Astyanax mexicanus: one gene and its partner. The protein of the gene in region 1 purifies or fractionates together with the protein of each later gene. This does not show direct contact. Links are inferred from orthologs where the notes say so. Each region holds a gene or a part of one and is shown on either strand. Other genes may lie near its edges.

What was found. The genes of interacting proteins can lie anywhere in the genome.
Region 2: the proteins of med16 (region 1) and cdk19 purify together in Homo sapiens (affinity purification with mass spectrometry; 6 studies listed by BioGRID and IntAct, counting the BioPlex papers as one, with this or other methods). This does not show direct contact. The link is inferred for Astyanax mexicanus from reciprocal best matches to the Homo sapiens genes MED16 and CDK19.

The regions. Positions count from the first base shown.
Region 1 is NC_064423.1:18,118,085-18,124,954, forward strand, and holds the start of med16 (mediator of RNA polymerase II transcription subunit 16), read left to right. Parts: upstream 1-3,867; 5' UTR 3,868-4,273; coding exon 4,274-4,412; intron 4,413-5,931; coding exon 5,932-6,039; intron 6,040-6,269; coding exon 6,270-6,439; intron 6,440-6,870. Other genes in the region: tmem259 (membralin), read right to left, coding at 1,038-1,253. UniProt on the Homo sapiens protein: Component of the Mediator complex, a coactivator involved in the regulated transcription of nearly all RNA polymerase II-dependent genes.
Region 2 is NC_064408.1:47,104,173-47,111,293, reverse strand, and holds the start of cdk19 (cyclin-dependent kinase 19), read left to right. Parts: upstream 1-4,110; 5' UTR 4,111-4,263; coding exon 4,264-4,391; intron 4,392-7,121. Other genes in the region: amd1 (S-adenosylmethionine decarboxylase proenzyme), read right to left, coding at 2,784-2,893.

The DNA.
Region 1 (6,870 bases):
CCCTGGACCCCTTTGGAACAGGGCTATAGTTGGCAATGGTATCATCAGGGATTAAAACCTGCAATCTCCTGATTAAACGGCCAGAACTTAAGTCCCTTTACTCAGGAGCTCTCTAGAAAAAGCAGCTCAAAACTGTCACAGGGTGATACCAACAAGCGTTTTTGTTGATTTTTAGTTTACTACAAAACATGAATACACAAACTGTCCCTTATACTGTGTGAAAATTTCTTGATGGATGGACCAAAAGAAATTCTTCTTTATTGCCTGAAATTAACTCTTTTCAAACTAACTTCCATTGAAAGTTGGAAAGGTGGTTTCATATCTCTCTTGTAAAATACTAGTTTTTCATTGGATAGCACTCTGTACAATAGTTCTGTCTATTTCTGACAGTGTACCATGTTTACCTCTGTGGCTTTCCTCACCTATAGGCAGGTTTTACACATACAATTTCTATTTGAGCAGAGATAAGTGTTGACTTCTGATTTGCAGCCAACATTTTAACATGACAGGTCCTGTTTTGACTAATAGTCAGTAAAAACATTATTATCTATATAGTTAACATACAGTTTTGCATGGGTTAATTGGCCAATATTGCAGATTTGAATGTAGCAGTCACAGAATACGTGTTTTAAAATATGTTATTGTGCCATCTCAATCCAGATCAATCTGTTAAGGCACACCAACATTTAACCTTTATTCATAATATGAAAGCCTGGCGTGTCCTCTATGTCTAATTACAGAATTACAGAGTGTATCTGTGGTCAAGTTACACTGTGACTTTCATAGAAGAGTGAGGGGCAGCTTCTCAAACAGGGATAAAGCCTAGTTATAGATTATACTTAAATGGAATATCTCAATTCAAGATGTCAAAGAAGGCTTAAACTGCTAATTTATAACCAGAAGTAGGCCTGAACTTGGATTAGCTAAGGTAGCATTCTCAGTATATACTGTATATATAGTGTTCTCACTGTAGCTAAAATGCTCAACAAATATGGGCTCAGGTCCAAAAGGGTACGGGGTAAACAAATGACACGTACCTTCAGAAGCACGAAGAACTCGAAAATCCTCCGAAAGGACGGTGGGAATAGCCTGGCATAGGTGACTGCCATCTTAAAGAAGAGGGCATGAAAGAGGCGGTCCCGCACGTTGATGAGGGGGTTCTGGTTGATGTTCGGGTTGCGGATTCGGTTCGGACCGCCATTGTTGTTCAACGGCACGTTGTTGTTGTTTAGGTTTCCCTGGTTGTCTGACATGTCTAACGCCAGTCCCACGAGTTTAGTGCGAAAATTTGATGGCCATGTAGGTCAGACAGGGAGCGACATACGCAGATACTGATAATTAACAGTACTGCCACTTAACCTAGTTAACTAATGCTAGCTAGCTACCTAACTAACAAATTAACGTGGGTGGCTGTAATTAGCTAACCTGGGTTTGCTAGTTAACTGAGAAACATTAGCTATCTTAGTGTGGTTATTTAGCGCTAGTCTGCTAGCTTGTGCACTACAGTCTGTGCATGTACTTTAACTAACGTTATAAACTGCACCAAATTTCTTAATAATCCAGCCTACGTCGTTTGACTGAGCTAGCCCTAGTTATCTTGGATATGTGTGTCTCATGACATCGCTACGAGTTTGCTGGCTTGTAAAAACAAGCTCAGTTAGCATTAGCTAACCTAGCTACCGCTAACTACTGAATGGGGGCATGTCACACTCCGTAGACGTTGTTTTTTTAGTCTTCTTCTGTTTTTATTTCGGTCTATCCTTAGCTAAATAGCTTTGTCAGCCTTAATAAGATGAACAACACCGAACTAGCGTTAGCTAGCTTAGCATACGTGCTAGCTAGCGCTAAGTAAACTGTACCTGGCCCTACTACTCTACTAACCCAACTAACCAGGCGTTAGCTAGCTACGCTAGCTACAACCTCGCTAGCTCACGTTTGCTCCATTTACCACTAAGCTAACTATCTTAGCTAAGCTAACTGATTTAAATACTCCAGGTCAATTAACAGAGTCTGTCAGTGTTGCTGAAATGTAGCTAAATTAAAAAGAGCTAACTAAACTCGATGCCACTTGCTAGCATAGCCCGCTAGCCTGTTGCTTATTAAACTAGCAGCTAACCTAGCTAGCTAGGCTAAACTACAGTTCAGTCTGACGTACAGCTAGCTGCACACAGAGGCCGTATGATCTGCTGCTCCTCAGATCAGCTTCTCTATTAAACACAGATCCTGACACTCACTCTCCCTCTACCGCACACGGAACCGTAACGACGCTAAATACAATCCCACGGGATTCCTCTCCGACAGAAGCTGCCAAGAACTTGTATCCTCTCGCTGTGGTCCCCCTGTTTACACGACCCTTTTCTAATCAAGGCGTACTTGGGTACTTCAGGAGTGACGAGAGCGAAGAAAGTGAGCGGTTGGCAAAGACAGTCATGCCGATGTGTTAGACCCGGACTCAGCGGCTGATCTCAGATACAGCGCCACCTCTACGCGGGACGACTACAAACACACCTGTGGCAAAATCGCCTAGATCCTCAGTTAATCAATTTGATTCTACCCTTTTAAAACAATGGTCTGTGTCAAGAGCATGAATTATTAAGGTAATTTATTATGCGTCAAGTCAAAACAAAATGTGACGTTAATTTTAATAGCCGTCCTTCACTGAACTAATTTCCACAGTTCAGGGCTTGTCCCCAGTTTGGTAATTAAATTAAATTAAATTATATTGATATAGCGCTTTTTACAACATTTGTAAAACCACACACAGTGCACCACAGTGATGCCAACAGTAACAAGGAAAACCCCCCTCATACTAAGTGGAAGACACTTTAGGATAACATGGTAGGCTAAGATGTTTATTAGATTTTTACTATAATATACAGTTTACTTCGTTTTAATAAAGACTTTGGGCTATAAATATTGCATAGATGTTTACATTTATTTTTTAATTTTATTTTTTATGATTTTAGTACGGTCAACACATTTATTAGTTGCATTGTTACCATGTTATTACAATTGAGTTATTATAATGATTTAATTACTATTCTCGTGTGACTTAATAACAATGTAGTTAAATCTTTATATTGAATAGAGAACAAAATGAAAATTAAAATATATCACAAAAGTTAATTAAAGGAGTAGAAACCTAATTTTAAACAACTATATAATGTCAATGGATAAATACATAAAATGTTTACCAAAAATTAGACATATAGAATTGCACCAAATAAATGACATTTATTTCAGACCTTTAGTAACACTTAATACAGCCCACAATTTAGTGTGTAAATGTGTAAGTTCAAATAACTTATGAGTACATACAAGATACAAAAATAAAGTTAGGGAGGTAAATAAAAAAAATACACCACATGTTTTGGGAAATTGTTATTTTCTTGTTATTGGTTGGGCTTTTTTGTTGTTGTACATGCATTTAAGTACCAATAAGAACCGGCACGTATTTTATATGTGTAACGGGCTTCTTAGTGTTACACATGTATAGGCTCATACAGGGATTATACCATACATTTTGGTAATTACATACTAAATGTCGGAAAATTGCCCAATTGTTCCACTATTGCTACTGTATTTTATATGTGCTGGTTCGTACTCGGGTCCTACTCTCTGGTTCCTGGTTATCCTCATTACTTTATTCGTAGCTACATTTAAGTAGCAGTAAGACAGACCTTGTAAATATTTTGTAAATACTGGTTCATACAGAGAAGTTACGGGACATTTTATTAAGTGTTACCATATATTTTATGACATAGATTATATTTAGTTAGCTAGTTAGTCTGTTAGCTTAGTTAGCTAACAGTTAGTGTTTCTGTTTATGGTTAGGGTCGTTACACTCCTGGCCGGTAACGGCGCTCTGACAGGTCAGTGCTGGGCGGAGCGCAGCGCTGCAGAGGAAGACTCATACACACAGCAACAGCGCTGTAGTTCACTGTATAATCTCCATACACAGAAACTTTATTTTAGTTTAACTGTGTTGTTTCAGAACCGTGTGGATTGTACATATTTTTTCTAAATACGTCGCTTTTTCCCCCTCATTTGTATCAAATTTGGTGAGATTTTGCGCTTTGTTATGACGAACTGGTTAGCTAAATAAGCTAACAAGCTAGCGTTAGCTGGCTAGCTAACAAGCTAGCATTAGCTGCTAGCTAACGCCGGGCAGTAGAGTCTATTGAATGGCTCTCTGTTCACTTGAGCGTTTGTATGAAACCCGGAGACATTGGAGGAGTATATCTATCTTAGTTAAATCGTTAATGTATTAATAATGGAGGTTGTGTATGTGTGCGAGTGGGAGAAGAGACCCAAAAACAACCACTGCCCCTCCATCCCGCTGGTGTGTGCCTGGTCCTGCAGAAACCTCATCGCCTTCACAACAGACCTGAAAAATGAAGAGGACGATAAAGGTAAGAGGAGTCCTTATACTAGTGCTCTCTGTTATCCTCTGTCTAATATAAAGTGTAGTTAGTTATATTAGGTTATATTCTACACTTTATTCATTTATGTCTATGAATTTTAGCCAGTGTACAGAACTTAAGCCTAACACTATGTTTGTGTCTACCACTTTTAGTTAGCTATGCATATTTCAGATCCACTGAACATACTACTGCATTTCAGAAAAATAAAATATCATTAAAAAGTTGCCTTATTTCAGTAGTTCAGTTCAAAATGTAAAATTCATATACAGCTCTGGAAAAAATTGAGAACACTTTCTTTGATTTTACCAAATTGAAATCCTCATAAAGCTATTCAAAAGCACTGTGTAAGACTGGTGGAGGAAAACATGCCAAGATGCACGAAAACTTTGATTAAAAAGCAGGGTTATTATTTTTATTTTAACCATTTCTCATTTTCTGCAAATAAATGCTGTAAATGACAATATTTCTATTTAGGAATTTGGGAGAAATGTTGTCCGTAGTTTATAGAATAAAACAACAATGTTCATTTTGCTCAAACATATACCTATAAATAGTAAAATCAGAGAAACTGAAGTGGTCTTTTAATTATTTCCAAAGCTGTATTATATAAATGTTTTATACACAGTAATCTATTATCTATAGTTGAAGATGATGACAAAAATCAGTATCTCAGAAAATCAGAATATTATATAAGACCGATTGGTACTTGTGGCGGTGTGGGCAGTGTGCCGAATTCTGCTGCAAAATGAAATCTGCATCTCTAGGAATCATTAAGTGCTGTAAGATTTTCCGGGAAAACATTGCACTGATTTTGGATTTGATTTAACACAGTGGACCAAAACCAGCAGATGACATGACTATCCAAACCATCACTGATTGTGGGAACTTCACACTAGACCTCAAGCAGCTTGGACTGTGTGCCTCTCCACTCTTCCTACCGATTCTGATTCCTTGAGTTCTCTGATCCCTTGATTATTTATAGCAATATTTTGAGCATACACACAATTGTGCTGCACATAATCCAGTTAAACATTACTGATTAAACTCTCTGTAATGTAATAGTGATGCTCATCAGTGTTCTTTTAGCAGTAATGTCATCCAAATATGCTTCGATATCACAAAAATTGAACACAATGCAATACAATGTAGAAAGAAGCCCTCTTCTATTGCACATACAGATGTTACATATTTTATAATATGCAATAGTATTGTGTTATTTGTATTAGTTGCTATTTACTGGAAAGATTTATGGGTTGTTTTTGTTTAATTGTTTTGCACTTTATATGCATGCACTAAATATTCCACACTTTGGTATTGCGCTAGATTTGTTGCTAAATTTTTTTGTTGTTACATTGCTTATTTTGTTATATATTTTTTGTACGAAACCTGAGACTTCATCATTTATTGGTTTGCTCTGTTGAAGCTGTTTTCTTTTGTGTATCATGGATATATATTTTTTCCCCTTAGTGCAGTCTAAGTGTTTAACATAGTACATTTTTTGCTTTAGAACTCAGTCACATGATTCATATCATTGACACTGAACACCCCTGGGATGTCTACTCCATCAACTCGGGTCATAGGGAAGTTATTTCGTGCTTGGAGTGGGACCAGTCAGGTAAGTTAACCTCACTGTTTAAAATTTAATTGTAAAACGGCCAATATTTTTGCATTCTCTCATATATACATTTTTTTCTAAATGATCTAATATTGCAAAAGATTAGCACTGTGTGCCCTGATAGGTGAAATTTTAGGACAAAGAGTATTGTAATGATGTTCACTCATTTTAGGGCTGCAGTATATTCATATCTAATTTTTGCCTTCATTCATTAAATTGTGTGTAACTAGGATCCAGACTGCTCTCTGCTGATGGGGACGGAGAGATCAAGTGTTGGGCAATGAAGGAACACCTTGTGAACAGCTGGGAAAGTATACAGAGCAGCTCTGTTGATGGAGACCCTATTGTAGCTCTCTCATGGTTGCACAATGGGGTCAAACTTGCACTGCATGTGGAGAAGGTAAGAGCAAGAAATTTACCCACATTTTTTAGTATATATTTTAGTATAAGGCACACTTAAAGTTCTTTAATTAAAAAAAAAAATGTCAGTGCACCTTATGTATGAATTCTACCAGTCAGGTTGTAAAGAGCAGTAAAGCCACTCCGCTAAAGTACAGCATTATAGTTTAGTTTTATAGTTTAGTTCTCCAGCATCTGAACTCTTTAAACTTTATGAATATGAACTAAAGGCTCTGCCTCTTTTTTATTATCTCAGCCATTTCTCATTTTCTGCAAATAAATGCTCTAAATGACAATATTTTTATTTGGAATTTGGGAGAAATGTTGTCTGTAGTTTATAGAATAAAACAACAATGTTCATTTTACTCAAGCATATTCCTATAAATAGCAAAATCGGAGAAACTGATTCAGAAACTGAAGTGGTCTCTTATT
Region 2 (7,121 bases), on another chromosome or scaffold:
AACTTTCTAATTTCAAAAACTAATTTCAGCAAGAACCACAGCAGCTAAACTCCGCTCGTTACAAGATGAATCAGCACCTCCATGCCTACAACCACATTTCATGCTGTTGAATAGGGGGCAGGTCTTTAGAGGTCAGAGCACAGCTGGAGGTCACGCTCCTCCAATCAGGCCACAAGGAGGAGTTTGCTCGGCACAAGGGGAAAAACGTGACTTCCACATGGCGCAGTGCATTGTATTTCCAAACCCTGGTCCTAGAGCAGTTACACACTGCACAATATTTAGTCTCTACACCAATCAAAACATAATTTTAGCCTCAAGGAAAACTTGTTACACTGAATAAAGGCTTTGACAGAACAGAAAACACTAGAGTCTAAAAACAAGCAGTCAGGAACCACTGGAAAAAGCAGATAAAGCTAAAAATATAAAGACAAACAAGTAAAGCTAAGTTAACCTAGATCAAAGAAAAACTCAAGCTTGCTCAATCATATTATTCTGTGAAACTGACTTTCTTTAAAGCTCCTTCTGAGAAACTATTTTGTAAGCACCTAATGTTACATACTTCACTTCTGTGTGAAATGACATTGCACACTGCAAATGCACATTTTAAGATTCAGATGTTTTATCATTGTATAAAAAACATTTTTTAAACATATTTTTCAATTTAACCCCAAACAGACATTTACAAAGGGTAAAGAATATAACTCGACAAACATTCAGGTCGGTTGAGCCTTGATCGTGGCTCTATATGACTATACACTATTTGTACTGAAATGATTAGAAGCTCTATGAGCAATATATGACATTAACACACATTTTGAGATCCGTCTTACAGTTTTAACACTCATTTTAAGGTGAGTTTCATTCATTTGGAAAGCATTCTCTCAACTCTTGGGTATTAGCCAGGCTACTGCAGGTGCTGTAAATCGTCTGTGTGACAGGTTGGCACTGCGGCAGTGTCTCTCCAGTTCTTTTTCACCCCAGCACTTCTTTAACTCTCTGTAATACATTTCAGATTATCTTTTGCTACGTAATGTTTGTCACTTTTTATGCGTCTGTTTTGCTTTTGTATTGTGCTAGTTGTAATTCATTTTTTACTGGTAAAACCTTAAATTGCATACGTCTTTATTGCAAGTTTTATCTGCTATTTTTTTTAGCAGTAACATCAGGTCTCCAGATCTGAGGCCATTCTGAGTAGCCATTTTGCCAAGATGACATACCCCGAGTGTAAATTTGACTGGTCATATGTTACAATTAACTTGCATGAAATTGCACTCTGTCTGAAATAGCAAAACTATAGATTTTAACATCAATAACATTAAATTTATTATAGTACAAGTAAATTTTTTAATTAGTACATATTTATCTATTTATATTATAGAGATTTAAACACATATCTGAAATACAGTTCTAGCCAAAACATTATATATATTTTGAATTAGCATTTGTTCTAGTCAGAATAAATTTACAAATATGTGAACCTGGACTTTTTTACCAGACAGAATTTACCTACAGTGGAGATATCTGGAATTACAACTCTTACCAGCCAATGAGTAATTACATATAATTGTAACTTCTCTTCTAACTACTAAAAGAGTGAAATTTTAGTTCGAAACGGATGGTAGAACATGCCTAGTCAGAATTAAATTACTAGCTAATTTTTAATGTTTAACATTCCATAGCTTATCTCTGTAATAGAGTCGCTTCTAGTAAAAAACGACATAAAATACCTAAATGTTCTTTATTACATGTTTTAACATGTCTGAGTTAATATCTGAGTGTCAGAGTCTGTCATTTGAGACTAAAACTGGGGGGGCTTCAGCCGAGGCAGCAGGGCGCCACCACCACCACCACATGCTCCACAGGGCCCACGTTTCACTCAACACAGATTATGGAGCGCAGCACCTCTTCACCCCTCTAAATATAAAACTCCTCTGCGTTATTTTTCTGATGATAAACCTCTAGAGAGACAAATGGAGCATGTGTTGTAGTTATGCTGCCTGTTAAGAGTATTGGGTGCAGGTTAGGTTAGCTCGCTTAGCTTAGCTACGTCAGTGCAAACAGAGCAGCTAGTTAGCCTGGTGGCTAACGCTAATGGCTCGCGCCATACTGTATTAGCGTTAGCTTGTCGCTAGCTAACTAACCTAGCAACCGCACAATTTCCAGGGTAGCTAGACAAACTTAGCTATGTACGTTGATCTGGCATTTTTTTACATTTAGAATTTTGTAATTAAATTAGGATAAATAAGGCCAAACCCGTGTTAAAGGGGAGGTTCGGATAGAACTGCGTAGTGAAATGAGAGCCGTAGCGAGCTTAGCTAACATTTTTTTTTCATTGTCATTGAAGATAGTTATAAGAAGATAGTTATAAAACCAGCACAGACTACTCTTTAGTAGTTTAGGGTATCAGTGATCAGATCAGAGCGCTGATTAAAGCGAGGCTGAGCTGATCAGGGCTGGAGCTATTTGCTCCGTCGTTACTGCAGCACAAATGAATGAGTGACTGACTGACTGACTGGAGGGAGGGGGAGGGACGCTGCCATACTGAGCCACAGCAGAGAGACACAGAGAGATACGCACAAGTTAGCCAGCTATCTGATCATCTAAATCACCAAACCAACCTTTTAACAGAATCATACTGTTCAGTTTTATGTCTATTTTATATGAGCTGACTGACACGCGTGCCAAAGCCTAGAGCATTAACCCAGCTCCTCAGCTAACCCACAGATCTATCTGGTTATCTAGCTTCATCCACACATCTCGCTTTAGAGAATTCGCCCCCAAACCTCGGGATGGTGCGGAGGTCCCCGGTTCCTTTGGTCTCGTCCTGCCGGGAGAACCACACCTCCAGCAGCTTCTCGGTCCCCTCAAAGAAGTGTGCACCGTTGTCCTCCATCGTGAGACAAACAAGACACCAACAACAGAAAAAAAAATAAAAAAAAATAAACCTAGCTCGGGTCTAGCTTATTAAAGTCCTTTTTGCTGGGTAGATAACTTATAGAGATCTTGGTACAGTCCTTGAGCAGTCCGGGTGTTGATTTCTTGGGATGCTTTAAATGATTTTTACCGTCTTCCCCTTTTACAGAGAACACCGTGAGCGAGTGCTAGCTAATATCGCCGGCCATACTGTGTAAGCGCGGACTACTGGGTGCGCGGAGCTTTTATAACCTAGCCGCTGACGTAAAAAATAAGACAGACCAATCATACATAAAGTCCCGCCCTTAGCCCGCATAGGATTGGCCAAGGTTTCTGCCACTCCGAGGACAAGCGTTGCGTAAAGGCGTCTTCTCAAGGCGGGCTGCAGTTCTGACAGCGCAGTGAAGAAGTTTGATTCAGTGAAGTAGTTAACCGATTCAACAAAACAGTCCACTCAAAAGAACCGATTCAGTTGATTTTAACGTACTTCAATTAATACGGCACAATTTTAGCAGTCCAATTCTAGCTTAAAAAGTATTAAAGGTATTTTTGTATTGTCCTAACCTTAGGTTATATTACACACACATAAATACTGCGCATATCCTACAAAAGAATCATGGGAATCATTTCGAGTGATGCAGACGCATAAAAAAGGCAAGCAGCGTTGATAAGAGTAAAAGGACAGTTTAAAACACAAACACAAGACTGTTTTTCACGTAGACACAGAAAAAAGGGAATGTAAATCCAGAAAAGGCATTTTTTATTTACAAAAAATGCGCAATATAATTCCCCTGGGTAAACTCGAAAATTCTTATTTATAATGTTATGACAGTCATATATAAATACAGTCTTTTGTGTAGTTTTACTGCAAAGAGTGGCTGAACAGTTTTTTTTATCACATTAAATAGCATTATAGGGAATGGTTTCCATTCCATTGTCTTAGTTTTATTGTCTCAGTTTAAGGGTTCGGCGCATGTGAGCAAAAAAACAAATAAAACATACGATATGCAATATGAATTCTCTCCCGTCCCTGCAATGTTTTTTTTTTCTGAGAGCGCGAACATGACTACGCAAGTGCGATCACCGCGGCGTGCTGTGCGGATTGTAGTTCCCGCAGCGCGCTGATCTCACGGCGCTCGGCGGGCCTCCTGCTGCGGGAAGACTACATTTCCCAGAAAGCGTTTCGCACCAGCAAAAAAACGCTCAACGAGCCAGTGAACATTAAGCGGAGCAGACCAAAATCCCAAACAAGGAAATGGTGGGGGAATAAAGCGATCAGATTATTTAATTAATGCACGTAATAATTAATATTTTATTTTATCCTAAATTAAGAAGTATTTATGGGTCGCGATGGACTACGACTTCAAAACGAAGCTCGCCGCGGAGAGGGAGAGAGTGGAGGATCTGTTCGAATATGAAGGTTGCAAAGTGGGTCGCGGCACCTACGGGCATGTTTATAAAGCCAAGCGCAAAGACGGGTAAGACAGCGAGCTAAAACGGCCTGCTTTCACTCATTTCTCCGCTCCACGCGCACTTTCTCCTTCGCGAGGAGAAGCGCGGAGGCGAGTGTGTGTGTGTGTGTGGTGGGGGGTGTAAGAAACCGAGCTCGAGTCTGGGACTGGTTTTGTTTTTATACACACACACGCGCGCGCGCACGCACATCTATAAACACACACACACAAAACGGTCCTCCCCCCAGAACGACACCGCGCTGCTGCTGTTTATTTTACAGTGTGAACGTGAAGTGAAATACACTACAGCTCAGAGGGGATGACTGTCTCTCTGCACGTGAAGCTGTTTTACAACGCAGGGTTTTACTCTGGAGTTGGAGCATTCATGCCTCACAAGGCTGTCCAATAGGAGTGATCCCTGCCTCGCTCTTATTGGACAGTCTCAGGCTCAGGCTTTGAGTTATCACTTGTCTAAATGTGCAATACTCGAGCTGCTTTAGTAAGAAATAAGAAAAAGCACCAGTCTTGGTGTCAAAAGCAGGACTTAACGTCTTTAAAGTGTGACCGGAATTATCTGATTTTTTAATTTTTAAATTTTATTTCTATTTTTGTCCGATACATCATCTCAAAGACGCCTTGTGCTGCGGACATCACCCCTTGAAGTGATGTGGGGAGAAAGTGCAAATACCCACCCAGAGAGAGCAAGGTCAGTTGTGCTCTCTCAGGGCTCCGGTAGCCGATAGCAAGCTGCATAAACAGGATTCGAACCAGCAATCTCCTGATCATAGTGACAGCGCCTTAGTCAGGAATTATCTGATTGTAATATAACTACAGGCTGGAGAGAGAAGTTTCATTGTTACTGTTAGAAGTCTAAACTCAGCAGCAGTGTTAGAACATGTTATAACTACTGATGTGTCCAGATGCTGTCATTCAGTATTCACTGGAATAGCTAAATGGATCATAATACTGTCTAGTTCAGGGGTGACCTACCAAACCCTTGTAGAGAGGTTCAAAAAGATTTACAATTCAAGATGAACTGGGCCATGGTTTAGTAGATCTGGACCAAGACTACCTTTTTTGCGGGTCCTTTGGTTCCTTAAATCTGCTATTTTTGTTTGGACCAAACTGGCAAGTCACTTTAAGAAGGACTGAGCTGTGATGGCTAGATGACCTGTTCAGAACATCTATAGAGAGATTGTCAAAAAGCTTTTGTTTTGTTATCTTGTGGGTAGTTATGCTTTTTACACAGGTGGGTCGTGATGTGGAAAAGTTTGAAAACCTCTTTTGTACAGTTTTAGAGTGTCCAATACACATACTCAAGAAAACACATTATATTGAATCAAGCATTCAATTATTTATTGTTTCTTCCAAAATCATGGGTATTTAAAAGAGTTATTCTAGCTTTTGCTGAAGTAACATTCTCTCTTTTGTGCAGGGAAGGTGTATCTACTGTCAGAGATGTACCTACTAACCACACAGCCATTCTGGTGATGACACTAGTGTAACATAAACCTAGTTAAATGAAACTCAGATAGTAATTACATGTTACTTAACTAATTATAACCATAATGTGTACAAAGCAGATTCCAAATAAATGCAACATTTTAAAAACTAACATTAGAAGCCCATTAATTGTAAACCCCCTCTGAAGATGTTCTTTTCTCTCTCTTAGACTCTCAGATTTATGTTATTTAAACAGACAGCTAGTTTCTGTTTAAATATCATCATATTAAACATCTAAAAATAATAATACATACACTGAGATGTCTAAGGCTGATAAAGTTATCTGCTATATTTCATGTAAATGCACTATATGGACAAAAGTATTGGGACACCTGCTACTTTATTGTTTCTTCTAAAATTAAATTTAGCGTTTTTTGGAGTAATTGTCTCTACTGTGCAGGGAAAGCTATCTACTAAATTTTGGAGTGCATTCAGCAGCAAGAGCAGTATTGACCTGAGGTTGGATGATCACCAGTCTACTCCATCCACAGCTCCCCACCTCATCCTTAAAGTACTATATGGAGATGAGCTCACACTTGACATGATATGACATGATGCCAACAGGTTCATTTTTATCGGCTCCAGATAAACAGTCCTATTCCATTGGCAGTAGTTCTTTACATGGACTAGACTGTGTCTGCATTTGCTGTGACGGCAAAGGATGCATTATTTAGAAACAGTGTTTACAAACATTCAGACATATCAAAATCTGAAAATTCCAATGATTCTGATATACATCAATTGGTCATATAATTAAAAGCACCTGTTTAATATTGTGTAGGCCCCCCATCATTCCTCTAAAAACATGTCTGACCCATAAGAGCATTCACTGTACAAGACCTCTGTAGGTGTTCTGCACCAAGGTGTTTAGCACAAAGACTAACATTAGCAGGATCTCTTTTTAGTCCTTGGTTCACTGATTGTCCTTCCTTAGAGCACATATGGTAGGTGCTGACCACTTCCTGCTGGCAACAATCCACAAGGTCTACCTGCTGTTTTGGAGATGTTCTGACCAAATCATCTGGCAATCACAGTTTGGTCCTTCTTAAAGTGACCTTAAAGTGCTTTCACACTTGCCCTGTTTGGCCTGGGCTTTTGGACTTCTCAGTTTGGTCCAAACAAAAATATCAGGTGTGAACAACCAAAGGACCAGTCCAGAAAAGGTGGATCGTCTACATTGTGAAAACACGTTTCTAGATGTTTCAGGCTTTCGGATCAAATGTATGCGATGACTAAAATGACAACTGTTGTTTA